Drosophila melanogaster: one gene and its partners. The protein of the gene in region 2 purifies or fractionates together with the protein of the main gene of each other region. This does not show direct contact. Each region holds a gene or a part of one and is shown on either strand. Other genes may lie near its edges. The genes, in order: insb, dpn and Sirt1.

Region 1 (9,085 bases), 9.2 Mb from region 2:
CACCTCAACAGCGATCTGCATGTTGAGATATCGACAATAGCGCCGCCCGCAGAAGCCTACGCCCGAATCGCCTACGCCATGGCCGAGCTGAGAAAGTATTTGATCCCAGACAGTAACGACATTATCCGACAGGAGCAGCTGCGCGAGCTGATGGACAGCACTAGCCTCAATGACAACGATAATGCCAAGAGTGGCTATAAGAAGACGTCTCACATGCAGGGAGGCAACAATGTCTTGGGTGGCGGCTCAATCAACCCGATTGGAGGGGTCAAGAACACGCCGCATCACAGCTATAGGTGAATTATATTTTTCTAGATTTAGCGTCAAAAACGTACCTAACTTGTATCTTTCGTTAACCCTTTTTAGGAGCTCACAGCCGTCATCTTTTAGTAAAAATGTTCTGGCTCCGAAGCAGAAAGTGATGTCCATATTGGAAAAAGCCAGGACGGCCATGGACGAAACCTATGGGTATGTTACTTAGATATAGATATTATCAAGGATTCATACTTAACAAACACATTTTGCAGTCGGGGCTATGACGACGGACTTGGTTATGATCCCCACCAGTCGTACGATAGCTACTCCTATGGCACTCATGGACATGGACCCCATGGACCGCCAGCTAACATTCTGGGCGGAGTGGGCGGCATCAGCGGTGGCGGTGGTCGGGGTGGGCACTACGAAAGCTCCGACTACGAGCCGGATTATGGAAGACGAGAATACTATCAGCATTCACCCGGCTATTCTGGTGAGTTACGGAGTGGTTACCTCTACAGACAGTATGTTACTTTTCGAGTCATCTCTTCAGCTGGCGGCGGCGGAGGTGTAGGTCTGGGCACTGGCGGCGCTTCTCAATCAAATGCCATCGGCGGCTCTGGTCTCAGTTCCAATCACAATCGCAGCCATGTTAACAGGTGAAATTTGCTGGACCCTAGTAGTGCCAGCGGAGGTCGAGGTACAAACCCGGCGGCAACCACCCAAAATTTGACCATGAAATCCCAACCCAATAGCAGCAACAACTTTTTGCCAAATCACGGAGCAAGTGAGTGCCAAAATGGCAAGAACATAAATCCCAACTACTACTACAATTCCAACGGCAGTTCCAAGGTGAGTACCCAACTGATAAACAGACTGATCCATAAAAATAATCCCAACTATCTTTTAGGTAAATCAGCAACAACTCCAACAGTCGCAACCAAATCTCCCACCGCAGCTATCAGGCCACAACAACAACAGCAGCAATGGCAGCCGGGCCAGCAATATGATTAACACCAGTAGCCACAATAATTGCAATAGCAACTTTCACCCAGTCGGTGAGAAAAACTCCAACGACGTTTCATTTATATCCTCCTATCGACTTGGTCCAATGGATGGCCAAAAGAGTGCCAACAGCAACAATATCAACAATCACACATTAGGCAGTAAAAACCACAGCAACAACACCACCACAACCGCTTCAGTGCCCAATATGCTCTTAGTAAGGTATTGAAATGCGATATTATCGAACGCAGAAGAGAACTCCTTCGTCCTTGCACACAACCCACACTAAATCGATGTCTTTGGACAATGCAAATGAATACACGGGCTTTATGTGAATCCGCTTGCTTGCTTCTAACATACATATACCTCTCCGCTTATCCGTCAAAGTTCCCGTATTGATTTGCATTGATCCGAAAACGCAAAAAAAACCCTTTCGATTATACACCGCAAATCAAAGACAAGAACATCTCTCTAAATCCAAATTAACATTCTCTTACAGACCTGCTAATCCTTCGCTACATATTGGCACATTTCCGTTCTTGCCCGTGCAGTTTTTCTGAACCCAACAGATACAAGAACTACAAGCAGAACAAGCAAATCGAAAAATCACATCAACATGAACATCACAGAAACTTTGTACACTTGAGTTCATAAGATTAGAGGAAGGCGTAGGAGGAGTATTTACAAAATGGACAAAATGAACTTTACGATATATACCACATACAAAACATATACATAACAAATATATTTATACATATATTTTTGCGTGCAAGGATTAACGTTTAATGATGATGAGGCTGGATCAACAAATCGAAAACCATACTTTCGCGTTGGCTATAAAACACAGACGAAACTGTGTCCAGTTTTTTATCTCTATTTACAAACCATCTTAAAGATACTAAAGAGCCTGAATGATTAGTGGGAGCTGTATTCGGTCGGGAGTGATCAGTAGTTAAGCACACGGCTCAGCTCAAAGTTGAGCTGGGATAGTCTGGCGTACAGATGATACAGAGCGAATCCAGTTGATACAGCAAGACAAAGCTATGTATAGGGAAAGAAGGACCCGACTGACGGTCGGTAGAGACAGAATCTATGAGATTAATTAACTTAATAGAATATAATAATAAATACAGAGGGCACACTTAAACCATAATTTTATTTATATATGCATATATTTAACAAAACTAACGATACAGATAAAGAATATATATATATACACTTACAAATTCTAATATTTACATAATTAACAGAGATCGACTAACCCCATGTTGACACGAAAGGTAACAGAATAACCCTAACAAAAATTATCTAATACTCGAGCATTCAGAATTAATATATCGAATACTAAAGAACTACAAATAACTAACAAATTACAAAATATATACAAGTTTATTGTGAAACAATGTCCATAAGTGGATAGTGCTGCAAATGATTACTTTATTAAAACACCAGATACGAAAACAATAACAGAGTAAAAAAGAATACTTAAACGCAAGCGTAAGCGTATGAATAACAAATACTCCATTTACTTATACACGAATATAAAGTTCTAACTAAACCAACAATGTAACTCAATACAAAATTAACGTAATAACAATGTAATTCAATGTACTTAACACATTTAACCCATGACGCTGGATAAAGCAAAGTAATTAACCCAAAATTTCGTTTCCTCAATTGTTCAAAAATGAGTCGTCTGCTTTGTCCAGTTGTCTCCATTAATTATACACTGAACTAACAAAAGTAACAAAACTAAACATAACTCGTAATCGACAATTTGATCCGTTGCCAAAACTCAAAATTTCGTTTCCTGTTTTCTCACTTTAGTTAGTTTTTAGATTAATGAGAATTCTCTGTAGAGCTTAAGTAGAACCAAGAGAGTGTGCCAAATGTTTGTAGGAAGGGATTCGGAGGGAGTGGATGGCAATGGACGGATCCCTTCCCGGTCTGAAATTACCAATTGAAATGCCAATTTATAGATATTATCATTTTTAATATTTATGTAACCTAATTTGAGTATCGAGCGAATAAAGTTGGCATTGCTAACGCAATGAAATAAACATATACTCGAATTCGAATAAGAAGATGAATAAAACGATATCTTGTCCAAAAACCTTAAGAAACATTTACTTACATACAACCATGTGAAACGTTAAATTGTTAAAAACAATTAAAATCTAGTTTTAATGAAATATCAGTAATACAGATAATACAAAGGAATTACAACCATTTATTACAAATAATTATCGTTGTTACAAATTATACAGATAACTAATATGAAATTATAACAAATGCTACTTTAGGGCGATTCCCCAAGCCCCCAGATAATTTATGATACCAAGTTAATGAAATAACCGAACAACAAAAACACCCCGCCCTAACAACAATAAGAATATATACACTTATATGATATACATACCTACAAAATGAATTCAAAGAAATAATATATGGCGATTGAGTTATTCTCATTAATTATTATATGTAAAATTAAATAACACAAGTAATAACTAAATGAATAAATAAATATATTTAAAATGTATCGAAAATCGATGTAGTAGAGTGTTTTTTTATTCCCAGCTAGGATGGAACCCCCCAATCTTAATTAAAACCTCTTCCTTTATGTTTTACTTTCAATATACATAATTTATTTCGTTGTTGCTTATGTGTTTTATATTGCTTTACAATAATTGACTAGAGTAAATAGCTTAGGAATACCCAGATCCCTGTGTTGCATAATTTCCACCCCCGGAAAGTTCGCAACCCTTGGTTTCTCTCTCTCGTTTTACTTGCAATGAGATCGCAGCAAAGTGACTAGAATGAGGAGGAGTTCCTGCCCTCCGGTTTGCTCTCAGGCGTGCAGAAGTCCATCGCTTTGCCCAACCAATTTCCCAAGGAGAGTCTGGTAGAGTGGCGACTCCGTGGGTATTCCCTCGCTCTGCAGAAACAGCAATGTTTCTCTGGCACACATGGCAAAACCCAGTGCCTCCGCCTGACTCCTTTGGGCTGGCGTCGGTGGCGCAAACTGGGCCGCCACCTCGGCATCCTCGTCACTTTCCTCAACATCCTCCGCTTCAGCTCCGGCAGCCGCATAGCCATCTCGATCGTTTAGATCCTGCTCAAAGGCATCCAGCTCCGCTTGCAGCTCCATTATTTTTTGCAGCGCTTCCAGAAGGATTCGATTGGGGGCATCTGGCGGGTTGGGGCAATTCTGCCCTGGCTCTTCTGCTGGTGGAGTTAGAGGACGATGGCGTTTCTCCGGAACCGCTTCAGTCGGTTGCTGCTCCTGTTGCTGTTCCTGCGGCTGGACACGTTGCTCCTGCGCCTGCTGCTGCTCCTCCTGGCTGGCTCGCTTGCGCTTCATGATCAGTTTGCCCGACATGCTTAGAGGATGATCTACTAGACTTAAGCTGCAATCGTTTGGTTTTCCAACTCGCTCCTGCGCGACACAACCTTCGTTCACCTGGCGATCGCCACGACTGAGCTGCGACCAACTGCACCCCGGCGACCAACTGGCAACTGCCGACTCCAACCCCAAAATGCGGCAGGGACCAGAGATAGTGGCATTAGGGGATGTGCCGCGCCAAGGAAATTAAAAACAACAATCCATCGGCAACCAAAAAAAAAAAAATTGTTGCAGCTGTTTGAGTTGCGGCAGCTGAAGCGGGAGGGCAACAGGATACTGGCTACAGGCCACAGCCTGAACGGCAGCAGCAGGATATTGCAACCCTCAGCTGGCGCTGCCTCTCTCTCTACCTCTCTCTCTCTCTCTCTCTATCTCTCTCTCTCTCTCTCTTTCTCTGCCGCTGCAGCAGCCGCGCTCCGAATATCCTCCCTTCCTCCGTGCATCCGTCCTGCACCCCATCCCCCCGGGATCACAGGCGCGCCCTGCTCGTCCTTTCCGACCTTTCAGTTGTTGTTGTCCCGTGTCCGTTTCCTTTCGGTGCGGCATAGCCGATTCCCAAGTTACCTTCCTATGTCCTTTTTTTTAATAGGGTTGCATTGAAGGGTGTGTGCGAAAATAAAGCATTTTAATCAAATTTTCTTTTTTTTACATTTTAAAGCAGACATAAATAAATTATCAATACCTTACAATCTTGGGTAATCAAGTTTTGAGCGTATAAATTTTCATGAATTTTTTTTGAATGTATAAGTTGTCAATTTAATGACGAATTAACTTAATTGCTACAAATAAACGAATCTGGACTTTTAATTCAGTTGATTTCAAATGAGTTTCGATCTGGTTTTAGCGAACAACGACCGATATATGTAATTGCTTAAATTGCTTTTCTTGGCAAAACGTGCACTGCTGACGCACTTAAAGAATAAGTTATTCAGGTTAGACAGTTAAGCTATTTAGGTAATATTTAACGTATCCGTTAAGCATTGTATTCTACCAATAAGCTACCTAAAATTTTGTTTGTGAACTTTGATCACTTGAACTTTGATCACGATGCTTCTTTACGAATATAGATTTTCGTATTTGCATACAAAATTCGTTTAATGTGCATATTTGTAGGAGATTCCCCAGTGCGGTATGCCCGACCATGATAAGCATTTGCAGCTGGCACGCTTCACATTCATCTCTTCGATCGGCACTTCCCCTGCGAGTTAGTTTGACCTGCCACTGCAATGATAAGTGCACACCTAAAAGCACTGCGAGAAATTTTCGAATTTCGTTGTCATGGAAATTGGTATGCGGTATGAGTTAGTTTGAACGAAATCACGTTTACCTCCGTTGGCATGGAGAACCAATTCTTATCGGCTTTATTGCCGATTGTTAACGTAGTAAAGGTGGAGTGGTCCCAAAATGCTAATCGATAATGCTGTCAAAATTTGGAATGAACATAATTCGCTTTATGGTTTATGTCCGCGCATTGTGTAATCATGACCATAATTTAAAATAAAGGGATTTATATTTTGGGTTTGTTGGAAGGGGGAAGGGGGGAGTGCTGAAATATAAGATGACACCATAAATGAAGAATCTCCTGTCCCAAGAAAAAAAAAAAGAAACAATCTCATTGATAGCAATAAATGTTTATTTATGGTCAAGGAAATTGGGCATTATTCGATTTATTTGGGGCTGCGAATTTGACACTATCTCAGCGAATTGTTGTTTCGCAATTTCGGAAGGGGCATTTAAATAATCACGCCCAGACGTCAAGTCTGTGAACTTATGATATGGATGGATTGGATATTTGCATTTAGTATGTCGGCAATGGTGTGTGTACACATTATTTACTTGATAAGCACTTGATGTTGTTAAGGGCGTATCAAAATTGAATCATATATATTATTTTTATCTCATTTTTATCGTACACTTGACATTGTGTAATATTGCGTGCTGGTTTTCCTCTCCCCATTTCAGTTAAACTTGGCCGAAGCATCTTCTATTTATTTTCGAACCAACTCAATTGCTGTTGTATCTTGTATCTTTCGGATATATTTAGGCGACATCTCGAGCAGGAAAGTTGTACCTTTCCCTTTCGTTTTTGAGTTATTTGCCCGAACACAGGCAGCAAATAGTAAATAGCAAATACATTATCCACAGCCGCAGCTGTCGTGTGTCTATTGAGCCATTATACATACTATATGATTGAACAGTTTGAGAAGCACGCGACAAGTGGCAGCGGATAATTTGGGGATGAACTGTGGCCCAAAACCCGGCAATTGTGATCATTTCGTGTGGGTAGAACTTCGCAGTAAACTCATAAAGTAATTTACGCGGCTGTTGAGTGAAATTCATCTTTCCAATATTTATCTATCCTTCCATTTTGGCGGCCATAAATCTGTGCAACAAGCAGGCCTCATTGTTCATCAATCGAATGTGCCTGAAAGTTCGCAGAAGACACTTGCTTGGAATTTTCGGGAAATTAATAACAAAGATCGGCTTACTCGGCACAATCGGCGGACTGTTGTTAATGGTGCGTCAATAAACATGTACAGTAAATACTCTAAATATAGGTAAGCAACCATGTTGCATATAATTTCGTGACAGTGAAAATGTTTTACTATGAAACAAAAGTGCAAATATTAATTACAGATATAGATATTCCAAAAATATCCTTTCGAATGCGTGATCTTTGATTCATGTGTTTAGATCACTTACAAGTAAATGCTGTTTGATGCTAGAGTTACGCCGAATGTAAATTCTCCGTAGCGAGCGTGCACTGTATATATTTTTTAGTACAATCCATATTTCGGCGTGGGAATGTCACGTTGTGTTTAGACAACTGTTGGGCCAACTACCTGCCTCTGTCTGAGTGGCTATGAGTCAGATAAATATATAGCCAATTCACCATTATCTGATCTATAACCGACGATTATCGCGCGATATGTCTGCTTCCGATGGCTTCCAAAACATCGAAATACAATGGGGTAATGCAGAAAGAGCATCGCATTGTCATTCTCAGCCAATTTAACCCGCAATCGCAATACGAGGCCTTATCGTAATCAGTCCGCTTCGCGAGGCAGTAAATTTCGGTTTTGCTGTTTAAGGTACTCGGCTTTATGTTTTCGGCTAATAACGGTTCTCGCACTCTCAGCCAATTTGGTGGGTCAGTCAGTTAGCCCGCGGACCGTGCGACGAGTGCATGTGAGTAGCGATCGTTGGTATTTGGTAATTCGTTGCTTCTGAAGTAACATCGATCGGGCCTTTTTGAGCCGAGTTAGCTTTTAGGCCAATGCCATGAGCAAGCTGAAGTTCGAGCTCGTTTCCGAGTTCAATCGAAAACCAGTTGACCGAGTGAAGTGGACCGCGATGGCAGAAATTTGTCGAGCAGAATGTGCTGGGGATTTGTGTGTTTTTTTTTTGCACACGCAAAGTGATAAGCGGCGATTAGATTTAAAACACCCAATAAACTATAAATTGCGATTTCTGCGCGCTCGTGATTGATAAATATTTGCCTCTCAGCAGTGGATTGGTGATAAGGTCGAAAAGGACCTTCAACAGTCTAAGTAGAAAATCTGGTTAACAACGTTTGAAGTGTTTCCATTACATGTGTAAAACCATTCGGATAAGAAAACGAACTAATACTTAAAACACGCTTCATTAAGTGGCAGTGCATTAATTTTTTATTAAAATTTTTAGATTTTCATGAGTGCAAAAACAATGATTATGACAAACCAGTTGCCGTGCGCGAATCAGTGCTTATTCACCGAAGATTATCCACCCACATTTCATCCCTTCGTGTGTGATAACTTATCAGCGATTGTTGTGTTTATTGTTCCAGCACCAAAATGTTACCTGCCCGTGGTCTCCTTATCGGATCATGCTGCCTACTGGCTCTACTGATTCATCCTGTGCAGCCGAATCCCATTGCACCCCGGGCGGAAGTTGCCGCCGAGTTCATCATTCTGCACAACAATGACATGCACGCCCGATTCGAGCAGACGAGTGTGACCAGTGGCACCTGCTCCAAGGAGGAGGCCAATACGGATCAGTGCTACGGAGGATTCGCCAGGGTGGCATACGAGTAAGTGCGGTCAGTTTGCCTAGAGTTCAACTATTCATGCTGATGAACTTCAACTAGGGTGCGAAAGTATCGCAAGGAGGCGGAGGAGGGTGGAACTCCAGTGTTTTATCTCAATGCAGGTGACACCTATACCGGAACTGCTTGGTTCACCGTCTATAAGGACAAGATCGCCAGTGCTTTCCTCAACAAGCTATCGCCAGATGCTATTGTAACTATTATTTTATTGTTTTCCGCATTCTCTTACTATATTTCATCAATATACCTTTCAATAGTCTCTGGGCAACCATGAGTTTGATCAGAATGTTGAGGGTTTGGTGCCCTTCCTAAATGCCGTGGAATTCCCTGTTTTGGCC
Region 2 (11,020 bases):
GGATACCGATAGATACACTTGTTACGCACAAGAAATCCAAATCGGCCCAAGAAACGCAGATAGCTGGGTCCATTCAGGACCTATTTTTGTTTTGGCTGTGAGAAACGCAGCCGATTTGAATTTGCCGATGCACAGGTAGCCGGGATACATTTCATCCTTTTCTTGCAGCAGAAAAGGATCACAGGGGCATATTCAAAATGTGTGTGTGGGAGAGTTCCGCCGAAACACCGCATGACTTTGTTTTCCGTACGAATAACTCTATTGTAAGCAGGAGAATTTGTCTGTGGGAAAATCAGTGCCAGAGTTTTTGAATTTTTGGCAAGTTAATTTGTTAAATGACAATTAAATATGCCAAAGTCCCAAAGACAAAGAACTAAGGGGGCGCTAAGACGAATTCTGTTAATAACGCTGAACAAGTTTGCCCAAAAATTTTGTAGAGTGCCTAACTCATATACGAACGAACTGATGGGCGAGCGCGTTCCCACAGAGATTCCCAAGAATGAAATCAAAAGTAAAAACAAAAGTGATAGCCGAAACCCCACGGAAAACGCACAGGATTCCGATCCCAGCATCAAATCACAGCAAACACTGCGCACACAGCGCACAAAGGAATGAAACCGAAGGATCCAGCGAGACAAGTGGAATGCAAGGAGGCCAGCGGTGGGGGAAATGCGAACCACCACAAAGCAAACAAGCACAGATAAGGGATCTCAAGGATGTGTGGGAAACAAACGAGCAAGTGCATCGGTATTGGGAAATGCAAAAGGATAATAGCGTAAAAGGAAATGGAAATTATGATAATTTTTGATCGCTCGGCGAAGGTGTTGTTCCTTTCTCACAGCAGGATCGGGTAACAGCAGCGCCGATATGATTGAGTGTGGGAAGTACTGGGATCGAAATGTTGGAGGATCCGAGTCCCTAAACGGCGGGGCGACACTCGACAGCCACACGCAAGGCAGCCGCAGGACGAGAACAGGCTGTTGCGGAAGTTATTACGGAAGTGAAATCAAATTGTGAAGAAAAATTAAAAAAGGGTCGAAAGGGAAAGGCATTAAAGTGGAAACTACAAATTAATAATGGGATATGAGGATGTAAATCTATTTGTATCTGGATACCTTATTCAATCATTTTCATTAAGAGATCACAATGAACACTTTAGGTCAATTCTAACACGGATGTTTTGTTAGCCAAGTGGTTTTGCTAACCAACGGTTAGCAAAATAATTATTTATTGCTATTTCATTATTAATAAATTATTATTATAAAAAAGATATGTATATTAACGCATTCTATTTCTAGGGCTTAAGTTTATTAAAATCCTGTAAAATTGTTCATTTTATACAAAGGCCATAGGACATACTTTTGCCACAATATCACCCGAAATCGTACAGATAACAAAAAAAAACTTGATAGTCGATTTCCTTGACTATCAAAAATTTTACTTTACTTTAACTTTATTTTGAAATATCGAAGATAATACCAAAGTAACATAAGAAAGTAAAAAATAAAAACCTTGAATATTTGTATGAGTAAGAATTTTAGGCATTATACAATAGTATATAGTATGGTGTGGTATATTAAAATTCACTTCGTCTACTTTTGCATTGATGAAGGACTTATAATTAGAAAACATATTTAGAATTTACAGCTCAGACAGATCCAGCCTCATTTTCCTGTGTGTAGCCAAACAATCTCTTCAGCATGTTGTAGATTATCATTTGTCGCGTCACTTCCGCCTCGTACTTTATATAGTCCTTGAGACGATTCTGATTATAGAGCTCGTCCAGCAGATCGAACAACTCGATTTCGAGGGCTCGGAGTGGGGCTTCCAGTTCCGGGGTGTGGGTACCAGCGAACAAGGCCTGCATGTAGATGGTGGAGATCTTCTCCAGAGCGCCATCCAAGGTGTTCAGAATGGTGTCCTCGGGATCGTGTAGGAGCTTCACAGGACCCGTGAGCTTTGGAGAAGCACGGTAATGGTGCAGACCATCTTCAGAACTAGATGCCAAACTAATAGCTGGCAGGATCGCCACAGTTAGTAACACTTGAAACAGATTTCCTGGCATGGTAAAATTAAAATTTTTCAATTAAATTGTTTTTATAATTTCTGAGATTTTTCAATGCACGCCTGAAAGTCACTGCGCGCTCTTGATTGCAATAATTTAGTTTTTGACACACTAAATGTGTTCCGCCTATTGCTTATATAGCATGGATTGGGAGCTTTCGATTGAGTTATCTTTTCAATCAAACTTTGCGAAAACATCGAACATACATGATAAGGCTGTTTCCGTATTGATTTGAATTCAGCTTCCGACTTTTCAATGAGTTCAAGTACTATTGATTGTTGATGCGATCTTGAATTTTCCAATTCTAATCAGTTAAGAACCAAGGAACCATTAAATTTGGATGGATTTTTCTTTTGCAGCATTTTTTTTTTATTATCATTATTTTCACTCCATCGAATTTTGCATTACCTAAAAGTTAAAATTACAATCGTTAAATTAAAACACTAATATAGAAACGTGAATGACCTAATGATAAACGCTATACAATGAAAACTACATAACTTAAATAGAAACACGTTTAATTGTTTAAATACTTGAGCAGTTAATGAAACATTAAAGAACATAATTATTTAATGAACTACATAATAGTCGTATAAAGCGCTTAAACGAGAACTACACAAAAAATATACAAAATCACAGCTGAACTTAAAATGAAGAAAGCGAAACGGGGATACATAAAAACATATAGAAATCGTTGAAACTTAATGGGGTTCTAAAGCATTGAAGTGATCTTTGAAAAAATTGCAATGAAATAAATTAACAATGTATAAACGTAACATAGAAGTGGCCTGTGCGGTTGATCTACCACGGCCTCCAAGCGGAGCTCGACTTTTCGATGGCGCCAGCTAGGAATTTCTTGGACGAGGGCTCGTCCAGGGAGCAGTCGCTGGACTCGGCCTCCGCCTCCCTGTCGCGCTTGGCGATTCCGCTGGTGGAGCTCACTTGCTGTTGCTGCAAGTGGGCCAGCGGTCGCGAGCATCCGCTGCTGTCGTGGCTTCCGGCACTCAAGTTGAGGGATCCGCTGGTGTTGAAGGAGGTCTCCGCGCTGGTTGGTGGCGGAGTTGAGAAGACGCCGGCGAAACTGTGCTTGCTCATCACATCCACGGTGGGCGAGGCAGCCCGGGACTCCTCGCAGTGGCTGGAGATGGAGGAGATTGGGCTCAGCGGTGGGCTTGTGCTGTTCTTCACCGGCAGCTGCGTTTGGCCGGGCAGTGTGTGGATGAGGTTTTCCGGAAGATTGGCCGGAACTGAGGTATTGACCGGTTTGCTGAACGCGCTCATCCTGAAGCTCTGTGTATAGTCATTTAGATGTGTGGGATTGGCAATGCTGGCCAAGGCGGCACTGGCTGTTCCAGCTGCGACTCCCGCTGCAGATCCTGGCCAGGCAAAGGGTCCCGGAGGCGGAGCAGCGGAACCTGTGTTCGGCATGATGAGGGCAAACTCTCCCGAGGGCAGGCGGGAGGGAATTAGCTGAAGTCCACCCATTTGGATGGCCGGAGCCGATGACTCCGTGCGGCTGTTGTTGTTCAAGTCCTGCGGCAACGAGGGAAACAGCGGAGTGGGAGCAGCCGTGACAGCTGTGGCGGGAAACAAGCCACCACGGTATCCATTGCTGAAGTTGCTCATCGAACCGATCTGCTCCAGACTATTGGCACACTGGTTAAGATGGGCGCTGAGCCGCTGACGAACACCGGTATCGATGCCATCCATTTGGCTTACATAGCGGTTCACCTCCTCCGCGCACTCAACGAATCCCGTCTTGAACTTCTGGACAACGCTGGGATCCGATTGGATGGCCATGTTGAGCTGCTGGCGCTGCACCGACTGCAGATGCTTCACCGTCATCTCAAGTATGTCGGCCTTCTCCAGTTTGGTATGACGAGCCGGCTAAAAGTATAGAAGACGAAGGAACCAAAGTCAGATAATGATGAAATGGGGATGGGGTGGGAGATGGTCGGGCTAATTGTTTGGGGCCCTACAACAAGTTCAATAGCTTGGGAAAAAGCGAAGTTAAGAAGCACGTTTCGTGCCTCATATGTCCAACTATTCGCGTGTAATCTGCAGTCCACTTCAGTCGAGTCCACTCTGTAAATATCACACGACCAAGGTGAGATTCAGCAACTCCAGCGAGAAGAACGACTGATCTTGCTACTGTGCACTGAGCAAAAAGGGGGCTTAAAGTCAAATTTTCTGGCAAGTGAATACTAATGATGGAAAAGTGACTGTCTTTAGTAAGTGGTTCTAAAATAAACTACTCGCCGATCTTATCGTTTGTGATCTCATATGAAGACTTTTTGGGCACAGAAGATTCCAAATCGTTCTTCCTGATCTTCTTTTTTCGCGCAGTGCGATCTTCGCCAGTCTTCGGTCCCCGATTGTTCGTCCCTTTCTCGCCGCTGGGACTGCATATTTTAGCAAAAGGTTCCCACGCAGGTCGCTCGCCAGCCCCGCCCCCTCAACCTCCCCCGCTCCCCTGTCTGAACCTTTTGTTTACTTTTGCTTTTTTCCCTCAATGTCTTTCTTATTTGATTTTTGGTCCGGCTCTCCTGCAGAATTCTGCGGCGGCAAATTTTACTTGATTTCTGCTTTGTAGTTTCTCACAGCAGGATCACTCCTTGGAAACTGGTTTCGTTCGCATCTCCGGCGATTTCTGCGTAATTCCTCGACTTGTTAACACTTTTTGGTCTCTTGACTGACTCCTCGTCGGCGCTCTAGTGTAATGATCATCAATAAAATTTAATACTCAATTAGAGCCCTTGGTTTGTGTTTTTTTTTTCAGTTCTTGTGTCGTAGGAGTTCGTTTTTTATACATTTTTTTGTTCTTTTGTAGTTCTGCCGCCCTTCGGACACTTGTGCCTTAAAGGTTTTTTTTTGTGGACTAACATTATTTATAAGAAAGTGAACCAAAAGGGATCGGGGGCTAGTTTCTAATTCGCGGGCGGACCGCTCCTTTTCTGCTTTGACGCTCGGGCAAGATACTTACGTCTTTTTTCATCGCCTCCAGGATAAGGGACTTCAGTTCGTTGAGGCAGTGATTAATGCGAGCTCGGCGACGTTTCTCCATAATCGGTTTGTTGGTCTAGAAAAGAAAGGGAATCAATTAGTTTATTTCGTAGGAATTTATTTCAGTTTAAGGGATATCTTTGTTTATATAAAACAAGGGTTTCACTTGATTTTTAAAATTAATTTAATGCTTTACATTTTCTAAGCCATTAAAATGAAAAGGTTCAAAACGATCGAGGGTGCTAATAAACTCTGCTATTTTTTAGTTTGCGAGTCCAATTTCATCGCAAAAGAGCGAACTCACCTTTCTAAGTTCTGCTTTTGACAATCCATTGGGATTGGACATGCGTCCATTGGAGCCATAGCTGTCGCTATAGCCGTTGGAGCAGTCGAAATCGTCGTCGGAATTAATATCGTTTTTGTAATCCATTTTGTAACGATTTTAATTTGTATATCCAAGTGGGAGATAATCCAAGATAGTTCGATTTCGATTTGGTCTTTTTCACAACACAATAACTTTGGTTCGAGTACGAAAATAGTTATAACAATTATTGCACGTACTTCTTAGTAATGTCCGAACAACAAAAACTTAACAAGCGGTACGCGTTAAAGATCGTTCTGGTTATCGAATCGTATAGAATAGTATTTTAAATGTTCATTCAAAGGAGAGCGGCAGACGACCGCGCTCGCGAGATGCCAAAAGGATACTGATCCTCCGAGTCCACGGGCACCAGCTAAAAACGAATCGGGTCGAAGCCGAAACGAGTCCACGAGTGAAACCGAGGGACTCTCTTACCTGGCGACGCGGGCAGCGGCAGAGGCAGAGCTGAGGCAGGTAGGCAGCCCAACGATCGCCGTCCGCAGACTGAGAACTTTTCACCGCAGCAGCGCAGTTGCGCTCAATCGGAGAGTGAGTGAGTGCATAACCACCCCAAATCCAATGAGTTCACACTCGGAGTGAGATTTAAGTGAGTATTTGAGTAGGTATTCCCAGGCAGGCAGAGTTGCCGAGTCAACGAATTGCGGATTCCAGGGGATTAGTGAAAATAGGAGCTTAACTCAAGTAAACGAGACTAAGTCGAGCCTGATCGAGAAACAACACAACATTCGGTTAAGCCAAGTCATTAGCCTTTGGCTTGACGAAACCCACAAAATTTAGTTGATTTTATTGTAAAATACAGCAAGCATTGTATATTAAATAATTTTGAAGGAAATTAAGCATTAAAATCAATAACATATCATTAATGAATTTAAAGTTTATTACAATTTAACAAAAATTTATAACTGAATTTAATCTTCTAATTCGTGTCGAAGCCGACTTAATACCCAATCTATTTGTTTTAGAATATTCATATATTTAGCAATAATTATACAAAGCTACTATAAATCTTATGAATATTATTACTTTACTTTTTTTTACTTTTTACTTGCTTATTACTTTTAATGAATTGATTAAAGCAATAGTTAACAAAAATATGAACTATATTCAGAGAATTAACAGCGATTCTTCTTTAGTACTTGAAATTTGCTAAAGCAAAGCAAAAAATCTTTAGTTCCTTAAAAAATGTATCAAGTGAGATTTTCTATAAGTTATCAGTGAGTAGCATTATTTGCGACAGATGTTCCGTTTGTGTCCGTTTCCCTTTTGGGTGGCTGGCTGATGGCACATTTAGTCGCACAGATTTCACCCTTGGCAAGGACAAACTTGATCAATGCCCGGCGAATGATTTGCAATTCATTAAGGAGAACTCCTTGGCAATTGTTCGGCGCAGCTGCCGCAACCCCCGTGACAACCCAACCCCCTTGCAAGGCGAAATCCTTAGTTTCAAATTCTTCGCTTTTGCCTGGTCGGCTCATCGGCAGAAGCGTCTTAGGGGGTTGCTTGGGTTTCGGGACGGAATCGCGACTTGCAATGGATCGGAATCGGACCTGGATCGGTCGTGGGTCTGGGACTGAGGGTCGGGGTCAATCATTACGGAGCTTACCTGGCTGGGCCAATTTTTATAGTCGATCCCCGGCAGATTTTCCTTTTTCAGGCAAATTTATTACTTTACGATGTTGGCAGGATTACGACCAAAGGAGTTGTCAATAACCACTGACGCGGGCCATGCGCCAGCTGACAGCTGACGTAGATCTACCTATGGACCGATTTGGGGAGTTTTGGGTGGGATCGTAAACGTATTGCGCCGCCTGGCAACCCTGGTTGTGCAAAGTGATCCCTCGCGGCCTGAGCGTAAATCCCGTGTTGAGCAATAATCTGTGGCGATCATCCATCATGCACAAGCTCTGCAGCACTGATCCGATGTCAACTTTCGTAAATTGAATAAATGCCACGGCTACGATTGACCAACTAAAACATCCACAGCAACTAAACCATGGGGTTCGGCTGAATTCTGCACTGATGAGCACATCACCCTGCTTAATGGCGATCACTTTGGCTCCTTTGAACGCCGCAAATTTGGCAAACATTTTCCCACGAAACCCGAAATAAGCACGATGAGCTGGCAAAATGTAAAAGTGCCATGGGCCAGGGAGAAGAAACCTCAGAACCATCCGACATATGTGGATCAATCGTCTGGCGAAACGTGCAGAGTCTGCAGAGCTTCTTCAGAAACTGAGAATTGAAATTCTATAACGAAGAAACCAGTCAGAAATCAAAGTTCAATATCAGCCCCAAACGCCGCTGCTGCTGTGGCTTCTCCTCTTTCTTTCTTTCCTTTTTTTTCTTATTCCCGGCCCAGGGATCAAGGTAAACGCCATTTAGTGTGGCACGATCGCTGACGATCGGTAGCCAGGCTTGTATCTGTATCTGTCAGTCCTCCTTTTTGGGGCTTCCCGGGCTCGGATCCTCGGTGCGTCGTTTCCAACGCACGATTTACACATTAAAACACTTTAATTTTTATTGTACACCCGGTCGGTTGGGAGCTTCGATCTGTCGACCAGTGACGATCTACTTCCCTCTTTTTTAATCAATTCTGAGGGCACCGGCAGACTAAGACGGAGATGGAGACCTTTCTCAACCTCAAATTAGTGACTTTGGGGGTATGTATTTTTAGCTGTGGGAACTGCAGTTATTACTTGGGGTGTGCTAGCTGCAACTCCCCCGTACCTCTCATTCATACACATACATAGATATGCACCAGAAATAATGAGCATGAAAAATATGAAACGGTAGCAAATGTGTGAACTGATCCAAACGGAACTAAACCCAAGTGGATTACGGATGCGGGGGCAGGAGAAGAACTCCTCCTTTGGCCAAGATATATGTTGATTTAAATGAATTCCTTGTTGATTTTTATGGCGCTTAGCGACGAGGGGAAACCTGAGTGAAGTGTGCGGTCTGCGGGGCATTAGAAGTCGTGACGGGCCGCCCAACTATTTGATTGTTTTTCTTCCTGCTGTGGGAGATTTCATTTTTATGAATTTGATAAATGGCCAGCCAGGAGTCGGGCTAATAACTGGAAAGTTCTTTCTGACAGACTCCAAAAAGGGGGAAAAGTGTTTTCACCCAAAAAAAACAAAAGATGCAATAATTTATATGCTGAGGGGATTCGTCACACATTTGGCTTTTTTTATCGCCTTTAGCTATATATATTTGGGTGCACAATCTAACTTAAATATTTAAAACTTTTGTCCTTATGAGAAAATTAAGGTTTGTTGACAAACGGAAAAGCCAGACATATTGGAATGTTATTGGGTATAGGGAGCTGATATTTCTTTTTAGAGCTTCAATTACAATTTTCATGTTATTGTCAGAAGTTTTTTTTAAATCTAATGGAACGTTTTAAGCTGATATCTATTCCATATGCTATTGGACTTCAGGAACACTTTCACATTTATTGGGCGTACCCTAAATAACTAGCACACATGATGGGCTGGGTCGAATCCATATCATTGATTCCATTGATTGGTGACCCATGCCAGCTGATGTAACGGTCACTTGGTGGATCAGCTGCTCCTAAGCCAACATTTGCACTAAACTGTCCTTGCTCTCGTGCCAAGAATTGGCACAGCTGCCGACTCCATTCTCCCGGCTGCATCCCCCGCCACTTCTTCGAGCCACGAGAACAATGGACTTGGCCCGGACAATGGTCGGCGCTAAGAAATAGTGACTTTTCAGGGGCGCACGGGTTTTCCTCTGGCTTCTAGCGGGCCCTAATTGCTGGCAAGCATCTTACATAATATTGAAGAAGATGCGTCTCCGAATGGATTTCGTATGGAGTGTGCCTGATGCGAAACAGCTGCTCAAGATCTCAAAACTATGAACACGAGGAAGGGTTGCGGGGAGATTAGGTGGGATTTGTTCGCTGTAAAGATTTGCGGTTGCAGTTGCGGTGGCACATTTCAAGACCTAACATCTGTCGTAAAAAACATCTAGTTTCGAAGCCCCCAGCCAAAAATGAAATGTATTTAGCATTGATGAATACGATAATAGAAAATCAACTTTTTAGTGCTATAAAAAAGTAGTGCTATAAAAAAGTACGAAAGTACATACGCGTATGTTTTTAATCGTTAAAGATGCACCCAAAAAAGCAATATAAAATTAGTTTAAGGAAGCTAAAGTAAATATACATATAAATAGACTTAATGAATAAAATCGACTTTCTCCTTATATTTTGGGTTAATCAAATGGTTTCGGATGGTCATAAATGTTAAATGTATTAATAAAGCTTAAAATAAAGTTTGATAAAGAATGAAAAAGAATTCATTAAATAACTTTTTAGAACAAAAAATATGTATTGAGATCATAAAATGCAATCGACAATCAAATTAGTAAGAATAACAAGAAACAAGGGGATCTCTAGCCACAAAATTCCACAGAACTTCCCTCGATTTACCTTTTCCCTTGACGACAACAACTGTAAATCCTCCAATAAGTACAGTCATCCCCTAGGGTAAAAATCGAGCCACCGCGAGTCATATCAATTCATAAATGCATATTAATTCCGATAGAGGCTAAAATTAAAACAGGAGTCGCTTTGGAATAATGTGAGAAAAAAACTTTCTCACGATCACCTTGTTGTCGCGCAGACGGCGTTTGGTGGAAATCCACGTGCAAAAGGGGGAAGTTCGGAAGCAAGGAAGGCTGGATGGTAGGAAGGAAGGAAACCACCACCACCAAGCAGGCGGAGTAGGACGCAGGACCCTCTTAATGGTGGTGGTTAGTACCTCCCTCTCCCCCTCCCCCTCTACCAGTGACGATCGCCAGAAGTGCATGAGAATTTAAATTACAAACAAACCGAAACGCAGAGCGCACAATCAACGGGCTTTGTCCGTGTGCGTGTATGCATCGGCATGCGATGACGCGTAGAGGGTGGGGTAGAGAGGGTGCCAGGACGAGGCGTGTGTGGGAACTTTCGACGAGGACACTCGAGCATGAAGCGGGTCAAACGACAGAGGCCAGTTATTATCCAGCTCCTTTTTATGGCACTTCTCACACGCCCACAAGGGGCGTTAGTTAGCTCACTAACCTCTTTCCAAACAGAGTCGAATGGAATTATAGCAAGTGTGAGAGAGAAGCGAAAGTCGAGTTCTCAGCGTCACAATAACAACACCCACGCGACAGAAGCATCTTTAGTTCTCAGCGAGAGAGATAAGCTCAGCTTCCTCTTCTTCTTTCTCTGCTCCTTCTGCTGCTCTCACGGGCATGCGCAACATTGCAACAAAAATTAAAGGGAACCCGTAACCACAAAAGTCATGGGCGTAGTGAACAATTTTATTTAAAAACCCGTTATGGTGTACCATAGAAATTAATTCCCTATAAAAATGGACAAACATAAACTGAAAATGTTTTAAAATAAATATAGTTCGATATGTAGTCAAAAAACCCCTCAGTAATCCACCCCTGCTTAAGGCAAAAGTCAAAGTCATCTAGACGGATAATTTCTTCCTGTGCATCAGCGGGCGATTGTAATGCGATCCGTGGCCACTCCAGTGCAGTCATTCAGGCCA
Region 3 (11,685 bases), on a different chromosome or scaffold from region 2:
CATCGAAGTGATCCAACCGGGTCAGACTCCTACCTCGTTTTGGGTGGCCACCATCCTGGAAATCAAAGGCTATAAGGCCTTAATGAGCTACGAGGGTTTCGATACGGACTCGCACGACTTCTGGGTGAACCTCTGCAATGCCGAGGTGCATTCGGTGGGTTGGTGCGCCACTCGGGGCAAGCCATTAATTCCGCCCCGCACCATCGAGCACAAGTACAAGGACTGGAAGGACTTTCTGGTGGGACGTTTATCCGGAGCCCGCACCCTTCCCTCCAACTTTTACAACAAAATCAACGACAGCCTCCAGTCGCGCTTCCGCCTTGGCCTGAATCTCGAGTGCGTGGACAAGGATCGCATTTCGCAGGTGCGCCTGGCCACCGTCACCAAAATCGTGGGAAAGCGCCTCTTCCTGCGCTACTTCGATTCCGACGACGGCTTTTGGTGTCACGAGGACTCGCCCATCATCCATCCAGTTGGCTGGGCAACCACAGTAGGCCATAATCTGGCTGCACCGCAGGACTATCTGGAGCGCATGTTAGGTAATAATATTTACTTTTTCTGCATACATGTTTTTACATTACCATTTTAACATTTTACATACCATTCCTACTTCCAGCTGGTCGCGAAGCCATGATTGAGGTTCATGAGGACGATGCCACAATCGAGTTGTTTAAGATGAACTTCACCTTCGACGAATACTACAGTGACGGCAAAACCAATAGCTTTGTGGAGGGCATGAAGCTGGAAGCGGTGGATCCACTCAACCTTTCATCCATATGCCCGGCTACAGTAATGGCGGTTCTTAAGTTCGGATACATGATGATACGCATTGATTCCTACCAACCGGATGCCTCAGGGTCGGATTGGTGAGCTTTAAAAGCTTCAATTTAAGTCGGCAAATCTAAATAGCTTCTGTTGTATTTTTTTTTAGGTTCTGTTACCATGAAAAGAGTCCGTGTATCTTTCCGGCTGGATTCTGTTCCGTCAACAACATTTCGGTTACCCCACCGAACGGCTACGACTCTCGTACATTCACCTGGGAGGGTTACCTCCGCGACACGGGAGCCGTAGCCGCTGGCCAGCATCTATTTCATCGGATTATTCCCGATCATGGATTTGAGGTGGGTATGAGTCTGGAGTGTGCAGATCTCATGGATCCCCGACTCGTTTGCGTGGCCACGGTGGCGCGAGTGGTTGGTCGACTACTCAAGGTTCACTTTGACGGATGGACGGATGAGTACGACCAGTGGTTGGATTGCGAATCAGCCGATATATATCCAGTCGGATGGTGTGTACTGGTCAACCATAAGCTAGAGGGCCCACCGAGAGTAGCACATCAGCAGGCCCCGAAACCGGCACCAAAGCCCAAAATACAGCGAAAGCGAAAGCCCAAAAAGGGAGCAGCGGGAGGCAAAACTCCAACCGATAATAATACTCAGTCGGGTAAGTTTTTTTTTTCTAATCAAAGTCATTCGAATTCCTGTATATCATCATGCATCTTCAAATGTTATTCCAGTCAAATCGCGTACAATTGCGCTCAAGACCACGCCGCACTTACCCAAGCTGAGCATCAAGCTGGAGCTAAAGCCGGAGCATCACAATGCTGCCTTTTACGAGAACAATCAGCCCGAGGAGGAAGGCGACGAGGAGGATCCCGATGCGGATGGCGATGGAGACGGAAGCACCAGCCACATCTCCGAGCAGTCAACGACACAGTCGTCCAGTGATCTGATCGCTGGATCGGGCAGTGGAAGTGGGTCCGCCTCGCTGGTAACTCTCGCCACGGGCAGTAACAAAACGGTAAAGAAATCTACTACTAAATCTCCTGCGCCACCAACTGTGGGTCGCAAAGCCACTAGCTACATTGCGGTGAGTACTTAGCGGAATAATAGTGCGTAGAGTCATCCATCTAGCCAGCCAGCCTGCTTGCCCGCCTGAAGTTCAGCTCACGCATCTAAACGGGAGGTCCAAAGAGCATAGTGGTTTTTGTTTTAAACATTAATTAAATTTTATTTAGAGGAATTCCCCTTTAATTTATTTGCCTTTTTTTTTCGAAATAGAAGCATCAGCTTATACACCAAAATACTCCATATTAATCCAAGTTTGCCTTGTTTAGCTTAAGTTTTTGTTATTTCATATGAAATAGATTGTCCGACCCAACTTAAACCACTGTGCTAAAGCTCCGTAACACAACTGCATAAATGTATATAACCAAAATCAAATCGTTCATAAAACGCCAATTTGTATATAATTTAATTTACGCACTGTTATTTTTGGTACTTGCAACAGCCCCAATAGCCCCAACACACCGACATCCAATCGTTCCGTCACACACCCAACCAGCAATGCAACATCATACGTTAACTAATTAAGTCCTTATTTTTTACCCCACTATAGAACTCCTCTGCGACGAATAATAAGTACATTCCGCGTCTGGCCGACATCGATTCGAGTGAACCTCACTTGGAGCTGGTGCCGGATACATGGAACGTGTACGACGTATCCCAGTTCTTGCGGGTGAACGATTGCACAGCCCACTGTGACACGTTCAGCCGGAACAAGATCGACGGAAAGCGACTCCTGCAGCTGACCAAGGACGATATCATGCCACTGTTGGGCATGAAGGTGGGCCCAGCACTGAAAATTTCCGACCTTATTGCACAGCTTAAGTGCAAGGTTAATCCGGGCAGAGCCAGATCCCACAAGACCAACAAATCACCGTTTTTATAGTGCGCGGATTTTAGTTTTTTCAAAGCAAAACGAAAGTTATCACCGATAGAACACACACACACACTTTTATACGTGTACACTACTGCGTATGCATATATAATATATATATATATATATATAGATATATAGATATTGAAGTATTTTGTTAGCACTGGAAATCGAAACACAAACGTTGCCTAGAATGGATCAACCATCCATGATACAATTGTATAACTAACTCAAGTCTCACAGCGCGTTATTTTATACCGATTAAATTGTAAACCGTAGACCTTAGGCGTACGCTCATGTTATATCAGTCAGAGTTCTATATCAACAATTGTATAAAGATGATTGAATTGATGACAGTGACTTTTTTTAAATCACGCATATTTTTATAAAAATAAGAGTAATAACAATGCATGCAACACATGTATTCACATGAATATATGGGGAGATTGCATAGCATGGGCTTGTACAGTGTACATAAAATAAGCCGTCGCCGATTATATAGGACCCAAGAATATCATATTTTATATAGAAGCAAGCGCAAGCAAATAACCCAGGCAGCATGCCCTCAACTTTCAGTCGTAAACGGAGCGATTGGAAGTCGCTCCTAGTCTGTAAGATCCACGATTAACTAGCCGCTCTCTCCTTCGGTTAACTTCGTTCCGGTGTCACACATCTCTGCAAGGAGGGCATTATTGGTGTAAGGCAAACTTTTGAAGAAGGCAACCTTAATGATAAAATATGTATTTAGATATCCCTAAGGTACCAGCTAATGTCAAGATACTTTAATAAAACCGAATTCAAAATTGCAAGTATTGAAATATCGCCGACTAACTTTTATATGTGTTGGTTTTCTTTGGGTTTATATGTGCTCTACAGTCAAAACTCATTTTCATTTCTGTTTTTTTTTTTTTTAGATTGGTTTATATTCTGGATATTAATACACTTTTAAGACATATAGACTAAATTCTTACTGCTATGTTTACACTGCGTTTGGTGGCTATATATTTATGCTAGGTTTCGAATAAACATTTCAAACACGCACACCAAATTTCCAACTCTTATGAATATTTTGAAATCCATGCGCTGTTACATTTTGATGTGGGTGCGAGTGTATAAATGTTAAAAAATAGTTGCCATAACCGATAGAAATATAAAATGGTAAGGAGATAACACAAAAAAGTAGAAAAAGAATCATGTACAATACAAATTAGGGGCGAGTGCTTATATACAGAGTGTTTGTGTCTAGTTTTTAACTAAAACTAACGTATTTTTCCGTTTGCATTTGCATAGTTTTGAATATGTTACGCTTAGAACTAGATTTAAAGTTGAGGCGCTGCTTCTCTTTGAATACAAAGAAATCCTGCTTTCTAAAGGATTTTCAACTTTCCGCTTATCTCTTTAGTTTGTCTAAAAAGGCCTCAATAACAACTTAATATAATAAAATACTAACATTTACAGCGTTTCGTTTTGAAAAAGAGAGATAATAAATAAACTAAGAGTTTTTCAAAAATATCAAAACGGGATTGGGCATAAGGGGTTGGTGGTAAAGCAACGAGGGTCAGATCTCTAAAGCCTCGAATTGAGTAAACTAGTGGATCCGGTTTCATTTCTTGAAAACTTCGTGATACCGGGAATTGAAGTGTTCTCATATTCTAAATAAATAACAAGTAAACGGTTTACCGTTTCCGATTCCAGTACCTTTCCGGGGAATGAAATTGGTAACATGGCCCTCGGCTACGATTTCGCAGCTTCTCTGTTTACAAGTTGGCTTGAATTGCATTTAAAATAAATACTACACTACTAGCAGGGGCTAAGATTACGTTTACACTGCTGCTAACTGTCCTGGAGGCGGACTCTCCTCAGATCTTTCTATTTGGGTCTGCTGCTTATTTTCCTCACTTGGTCGCCGCTTCTTTAGTGGGGGAATTTCCGTTTCAATAGCGGGCGTTGGCTGCTGTTCTATAATGCAGGCGGTTCTTTTCTGGCCGGGACTGCTGTTGGGCAGCGGTTCGTTGGATCCATTCACTATATCGGTGACTATGTGAGCCTCCAGTGAAGGCGGTAGCAATGGTGACAATGGAACGGCGTTCAGATCACATGCATCCTCATCATCATCCTTATAATTGTGCCCCACATTGCCAAAGAGATCACTGTGTCTATTGTGTGATCTTTCCTCTTCTTCGTCATCATCATCGCTGTAATCGTTGTCCCAGAATACCTGGGCTCCTGGAAACACATACGAATAGTTGTTGGTGTGCGAATAGAATGTTCCAGGCTGCAGACGCTCGGCTGCTGTCTGTCGCTTTCCCCTCTGTTGTGGAATGGGCGTCAGGCTGGGCGCCACTGTCTTGGTCTCCTGAACAAGATTGCTGGGTCGCACGTAGCTAGGCGTGGCTTCGTTGTCGCACTGCTCGATGCCGCTATCCTTGGAGGAATCAATGGAAAGATGGCGATAGCTCTCCACCGTTGTCTGAGGGCCTTCCAGGCCCAGACGATCGCAACTTAGGGCTGTGGTCTCGTTCAGCTCAACCAGTATGTCTGTTTTAATACGTTCGATGGCTGCCGCTTCGGCGGCAGTGGAACGCTTTCCACAGCTAAAAGTAGATGACTCAAATCCACTATCCGAGCAGGTGCCAGCTGATCCTAGTATGTAGTCCGCCGAACTATTTGATTTAATAGACTGCGTATCCGTGTCCAGTTGCGACTGTCGCTCGCTCTCTGAACTGCAGTGGCGGTGGTGAAGTAGATGATGATGGAGGTGGTGATTAGAGTGCTCCGGAGGCATTAGCTCCTTGCTTTCGGTAAGCACTGACTCATCGCAGCACAGCTGCCGCCAGCAATCATCGTTGTCCGACAACCGGTGGCAAATCTGGTTGATGATCACATCGGAGTCGCCCAGCAGCTCCACATCGAACTTAAGGTGATGCAGCTGCTCGCGATTGATAAGAATCTGCGGCACCGTGGCCGGTATGCTGCTGGGAATGTGGGCCACAGGTCGGACCTTCAGCGAGGAGCCGATCACGATCAGTAGATCGCACACGTCCTTGTCGGTGGCCATGACCGTGTGGTACTCATCCGGCAGTCCTGTTGGCAATATGAAAAGCAAACACAATATGATATATGGTAAATAGCGTTACTTTGTATTTTCAATAGTTTATCTCTTAAATAAACACTTCTTTTGATCGTCGAATTTGAAATTCTTGCATTTATTTTACCAAGGCTATTGATAATATATAATAAATCTGTATAAAAATGGCACCTACCCTCGCCGAAAAAGACGATATCCGGCTTCATGATGCCGTTCTCGACCAGTTGGCGCAGCTCCTCCTCAGTAACGGCCACCGAGGCATCCACGCTCTGCTCCTTATTGGGCTGGCACTGCGGGCACACCGGAATTCGCTGGGCAAATATGTCCGCCCGCAGGGCGTCAGCGTTGCACTTGAAACGACACTTGGTGCACGAGGCCGTTGAAAAGGAGCCGTGACACTCGATTACTCGCTGAATGCCTGCCACCCGCTCGAGGGTGTCGATGTTCTGTGTGTAGTTGCGCAACAGTTTGCCCTTGGTCTCCAGCATTTTGATGAAACGATGGCAGGGTGAGGGCTGAAACTCGCCGGGATATATCTCGCGGGCAAACTTGTAGAACGGTCGTGGATCCCTCTTGAAGTAGTTGATATCAAACATGGCCTGCGGATCGGGCAGATCGGGAAAATCATGGGCCAATCGCGCATATATGCCATTGGTGGACCGGAAGTCCGGAATGCCGCAGGAGACGGATACTCCGGCTCCCGTTAGCACAATGATCTTCTGTGATTTCTTGACCAAACTGATGACATCGTCGAAGGTGTTCACTGAGGCCAGCTTGTTGCGCCGCTTCGGCTCGTTCAACAGGTGGGCCAAATAGTCCCACAGCACGGAGTCGTCGGTGTCGCCCGCCAGGCCGGTGGCGAAATGCGGCATAATGCTGGCAATAACCTGGCGCGGCACACGACCTGTGTAAAATTCTCGTTGCAACCAGCGCAGCTTCCAGTCGGGTTCCACGGATGAGGAGCAATTTGAGCTGGAGTCCTCATCCTCGTTGCTCGTTCCGGTGATTCCCTCCTCGTCGTCCTCCTCCTCCTCCTCATCGTCCTCTTCCTCCTCCTCCTCGTCATCTTCATCCTCGCCCATTGACTTTGTGGGATTTTTGGTTTTATGCTCCAAATTGGCGCCAATCTCTTGTTCTTCCCTGGCAGCCAATGTTTTTGTTTTGATTTCACCATTTGCTTTGCCAGCAAGTTCGCTTGTTGCTGGTTCTGTGGTTGTTGCTGTTGCTTCTGCCTCTGCCTCTGCCTCTGTTGACGTTGAGGCCAGAATTTCCGCGCCAAAATCAAACTTAGTTGGCGGATAGAATTGCGTAGTGTCTGGCACCTGGTTGCCCAGATCTTTAGACCTAATGTGGCCCAGGCGAATTTCCTCGTAATTTTCCATCATTTTTTCCGAACCCAAGCGCGCGCACACGCGCACACACACAGACTCACGGAGAGAAAACTCTCGTAGTTGGTGCTGTTGCTGGCTCTTCTTCTTCTTGCGCGAGTGTTTCCTCGGTCTCTCCGCTTTGCGCTCTCGCCTCGTCCGTTTTCTCCGCTCTTTCGTTGGTACACACAAAAATTTTTACGTCGTCAGCTTCGCACCCATTTGGCTTGATTGAAAAAATTCTCCAGCGATCGTTTGGCCGCGATTTTTTCAACCAACCCGACTTTATTTCACGTATATGCACGAAACTTAAATTTTAAAAAAATTTCGACACCATTTGGTTGCGATTTTTTCGTAATTTTCGAGCGTAGTTTCTGGAAAATTTTCCGATGAAAAAAGCAAGATGGCACACGTAGCTGCGCCTGTGTGTGTATGTGGGCTGGCAGACGTGATTCGGGTGGGACCCTGACACGTCGTGTGGAAAGTGCTAACGCGTTTCTGCATGGAAAGTGCCGCCAGCATGACTCATCACGGTATGTTTTTAGTATTTTTTGGGATTTTTGAGGGTGATTACGTGTTGCTACAGTGGCCACTGCCTTATGTCATATCTAATTTAATCCATTTCTTTAAAAACTGTTTAAAATATATCAATAATTTGTCAAAAAGTTAGTAAAATTAATTTTAAATTATGCTTCGAACTTTAATTTTAGCACTCTTTTACTTATCAAATTTACTCGATATTTAAACAATTAAGTAAAAATAATTTTTTTGTCCAATATTTACACATTTCATAGTAGTATTATAAATTGATGTATTGATAATATGCAGTTCATATGTCCAAAAACTTCCATCAAGCTGTTAAATACAAAAATGTGTAAACAGATTTCCAGAACGTTCCAGCAAGTGTCTACTGTTCCCCAAAAAAGCTGCGATTTTAAGTATTTATTTGGTACTTTCCCCAAAATTATAGGTTTTTGGTAGAACTTGGGCATACTTGTTAGCCAATATGACTTGAAAATATTGTCATAAATACATTGTTAAATAATTTAATAAGTCGTACACTTACAATGTACAAAATATTTTAGTTTGTAGGGGGACTGGGGATGCAATAGGAAATGGACAACCTAAATTTATACGACGTTCTTAAAGTGGCTCCGGATGCAACTGATGAGGAAATAAAAAAGGTATGTAACAGTTCCAATTCGATATGTTGGTAAATAGTTTGTATTCACCTTTTCACCAATAGAACTACCGAAAATTGGCAAAAGAGTTCCATCCAGACAAGAATCCCGATGCGGGCGACAAGTTTAAAGAAATATCCTTCGCCTACGAAGTGCTGTCCGATCCCGAGAAGCGGCGCATCTACGACCGATATGGATTGAAGGGCCTGCAAGAGGGCGCCGAGGGATTCTCTGATGCCTCCGAATTCTTCGCCCAGTGGTTCCCCTTCGATCGAGTCTCGTCCGAAGGTCGGGGCAGGCGCAATGGCAAAGTCGTGGTAAAAGTGGAGCTGACCCTGGAGGAGATCTACGTCGGCGGCATGAAGAAGAAGGTGGAGTACAATCGCCAGAAGCTGTGCTCCAAGTGTAACGGCGATGGCGGTCCCAAGGAAGCGCACGAGAGCTGCGAGACCTGCGGCGGAGCTGGACGAGCGGCCGCATTTACCTTCATGGGTCTCAGCCCCTTCGATACGGTATGTAAGAATTGATTGTAGTTGTAGTGAATGCACACCGCGGACCACACATCCGTGGAGATCCCATATACCACACTTCGGAGCAGATTATTTAAATTATTTTTTTTTGCAGACCTGTCCGACTTGCGATGGCAGGGGCTTCACCATAAGGGACGACAAGAAGTGCAGTCCCTGCCAGGGCAGTGGTTTCGTAGAGCAGAAGATGAAGCGGGACCTGGTTGTGGAGCGAGGAGCACCGCACATGCTAAAAGTTCCCTTCGCAAATGAGGGCCACCAAATGCGAGGCGGCGAATTTGGGGATCTGATTGTAGTCATCTCCCAGATGGAACATCCAATCTTTCAGCGCCGCCATGCCAATCTGTACATGCGAGACCTGGAGATCAACATCACGGAGGCCTTGTGCGGCTACTCGCATTGTTTCAAGCACTTGGATGGACGAAACGTCTGTCTGCGCACGTACCCTGGTGAAGTGTTGCAGCACAACCAGATCAAGATGGTGCGAGGCAGTGGTATGCCTGTTTTTAACAAGGCCACCGACAGTGGAGATCTCTACATGAAGTTTAAGGTTAAGTTTCCGGACAACGACTTTGCCACGGCACCGCAGTTGGCCATGCTGGAGGACTTACTCCCTCCCAGACAGCCGATAGTGATCCCAAAGAACGCCGAGGAAGTGCAAATGACGGACTATAAGCCGCAGCCACGACAGCAGGAAGACGAGGACGGACAGTCGTCTCACTTTGAGGGCGTACAGTGCCAGACGGCTTAGTGCATGTGGTTGTGGCTCCTGCAGGCGCGGTATCTCTGCCTCGATTTGTGGCTCATCCTGGGCACTTTCAGCGTAGATGAAGTCTGCTTCCTGGTGCCGCTGTTCGTCCTGATATGCATAGTATTATTTTTCATACAGGAATGTTTGCTGTGAAAAGCGCGTGATCTAAATTCGTAGTGTTATTATTCGAGACTAAAGCTTAGCTGATCTGTCACTAATACATTAGCCACGCTAAATTAACTATTAACTACTTATTTATTGGTACCTATTTTTTGGGCTGAACTTGCCCCAATTATCCCTACAAAACTATAAACGAATACACAATAATAGTTCTCTCATAGAAATCTTAAAAACCGGATAAATTTAAATCGATTTACGTATTTTTATTTAATTTTTAATATTGTTGCTGAGAATTGAGTATTCAAAGATTCGAAAGATCCGTTTTAATCGCTTTCATTGGATTCATCAGCGGATGTCGTTTCGTCTGATTGACCACCATCTGTCTTGGTCAAATTCATAGGCGACCCTTTGGGCTTTGGCATGACTTGTGATGAATTCAATGATTTAAATGACAAGGGTTCTAAATTTGGCTCCGTCTTGGCTCCCTCTTGCGGCAGCTCATCGCTGTTGCCTGCCAAGTCCTCCGTCTGGTCATCCCTGGGCTTTCGTAAATCCAGTGCCGAGGTCGAATGAGCACTATCCACCATCTCGATGATCTCCTCCGTTTCCATGGGATGATGGTCGTCTAGCTTCTCCGGCGGCATCACAATCATTTCACCCGTGCGCATTCCCTTCGAATCGGCCAATTGTTCGGCGCTTACCTTCATCATAGTCAGATACTGATTGTACTTGGCGTAGTTGCGCCTACCGGTCTCATCGTTCATCAGCACCTGGGCCTGGTTATGGGATCTATCGCGGAGGGCCTTCAAACGGATGTGCTTGGTGATGTCCCAGCGCCAGTTGGAGCGATAGGCGCACAGAGAGCATTCAAAGGGCTTCCTATTTAGATGACCAACGATGTGGACATGGAAGCGAGATGCAGTGGCTGCCCAAAAACTGCAATGAGGACACTTAAAAACCTTCTTCAATGGCGCCAAATCTTCGGGTTCCTCTGGCAAAACTTCTGTGACCTGAAATTAAAGGGATAAGTTTGCAACACCATGTACTTATATATATATGGACTTTACCTCCCCATAGCCAGGAGCTGTTTCTACGCCGCAATAACTGAGATCAGTGGGAGCATTGGGGAAGTCCTCATCGTGAAGATCCACCTCCGCGTTGATAGAAGCCTGCAGTTGGGTGGTGTTGTGCAAGGCCAAAGTGCACACTTGTAGATGGTTGATCAACTGCATGGCATTGCCCACCCGCTTCTGGCAGTGTGAACAAACGATCCCCGAAGTCCGGGGAAGCAGAGATTCTGTCGATGCAACGGTAGCACCACCATTTTTAAACGTTTCTGGTTTCCTGGAACCACTTGACTGCTGATCCACCAGATCCTCAGCCTCATCTCGGCTTCGGTTGCCCATTTGGTGAACCGGCATGGGCACATGATGGTTTGATTCGTGTATGGTCAGCGATTGTTTGATATCCGTGCTAAAGTCACAGCACGAGCACTTGAAATGGCCATTGGCACCATGGTTCTTGGTGTGCCGGTCTAGATTCCACTTGTAGGGTGTGTGAAAATCACATGAGCTGCACTTGATCAGTGGCATGGAATGGTACTTCACATGCTTTTTGAATCTGGCTCGAATGGGCGTGCTATATGAACACTTCTGGCATTGAAACTGCTCCTTACCCGACACCAATTCACGGGTATCCGGCGAAGGACTCTTCGCAGTCTCCTCGGAATCGGAGCTGCTGTTTTGCTGTTCCAATTTCAGGGACTCTGCTTGCTTAGGCGGCATTAACTTGGTCTGGAACTCGTAGGCCATGGAGAATATGTTGTCGTGGCTCTCGACGATCTGCTGCAGCTGCAGCATCTCCTGCTGTCGATTGTACGCCTGGACACTGGCCAGTAGCTGCATCTCTTGCTGCTGCAGTTCTACTTTCAGCT

Evidence for each region.
Region 1: the proteins of dpn (region 2) and insb purify together in Drosophila melanogaster (affinity purification with western blotting; one study listed by BioGRID). This does not show direct contact.
Region 3: the proteins of dpn (region 2) and Sirt1 purify together in Drosophila melanogaster (affinity purification with western blotting, with the first as the bait; one study listed by BioGRID). This does not show direct contact.

Annotation. Positions count from the first base shown.
Region 1 is NT_033778.4:17,471,328-17,480,412, forward strand, and holds insb (insensible), read right to left. Parts: upstream 4,946-9,085; 5' UTR 4,640-4,945; coding exon 4,109-4,639; 3' UTR 3,887-4,108; downstream 1-3,886. Other genes in the region: qkr54B (quaking related 54B), read left to right, coding at 1-296, 367-468, 528-748, 809-918; veil, read left to right, coding at 8,497-8,732, 8,790-8,940, 9,005-9,085.
Region 2 is NT_033778.4:8,226,551-8,237,570, forward strand, and holds dpn (deadpan), read right to left. Parts: upstream 5,781-11,020; 5' UTR 5,499-5,780; coding exon 5,373-5,498; intron 5,145-5,372; coding exon 5,049-5,144; intron 5,039-5,048; exon of another isoform or gene 4,554-5,038; intron 4,516-4,553; exon of another isoform or gene 3,953-4,515; coding exon 2,867-3,952; 3' UTR 2,421-2,866; downstream 1-2,420. Other genes in the region: CG34217 (uncharacterized protein), read right to left, coding at 1,649-2,065. UniProt on the Drosophila melanogaster protein: Transcriptional repressor of genes that require a bHLH protein for their transcription.
Region 3 is NT_033779.5:13,161,497-13,173,181, reverse strand, and holds Sirt1 (sirtuin 1), read right to left. Parts: upstream 7,619-11,685; 5' UTR 7,192-7,618; coding exon 5,982-7,191; intron 5,803-5,981; coding exon 4,541-5,802; 3' UTR 3,631-4,540; downstream 1-3,630. Other genes in the region: Sfmbt (Scm-related gene containing four mbt domains), read left to right, coding at 1-539, 617-866, 932-1,443, 1,517-1,869, 2,398-2,730; DnaJ-H (DnaJ homolog), read left to right, coding at 8,289-8,357, 8,420-8,866, 8,979-9,632; kmg (kumgang), read right to left, coding at 10,076-10,762, 10,820-11,685. UniProt on the Drosophila melanogaster protein: NAD-dependent histone deacetylase involved in heterochromatic silencing. Mildly suppresses the heterochromatin-mediated silencing phenomenon known as position-effect variegation (PEV). Required for epigenetic silencing of the polycomb group proteins.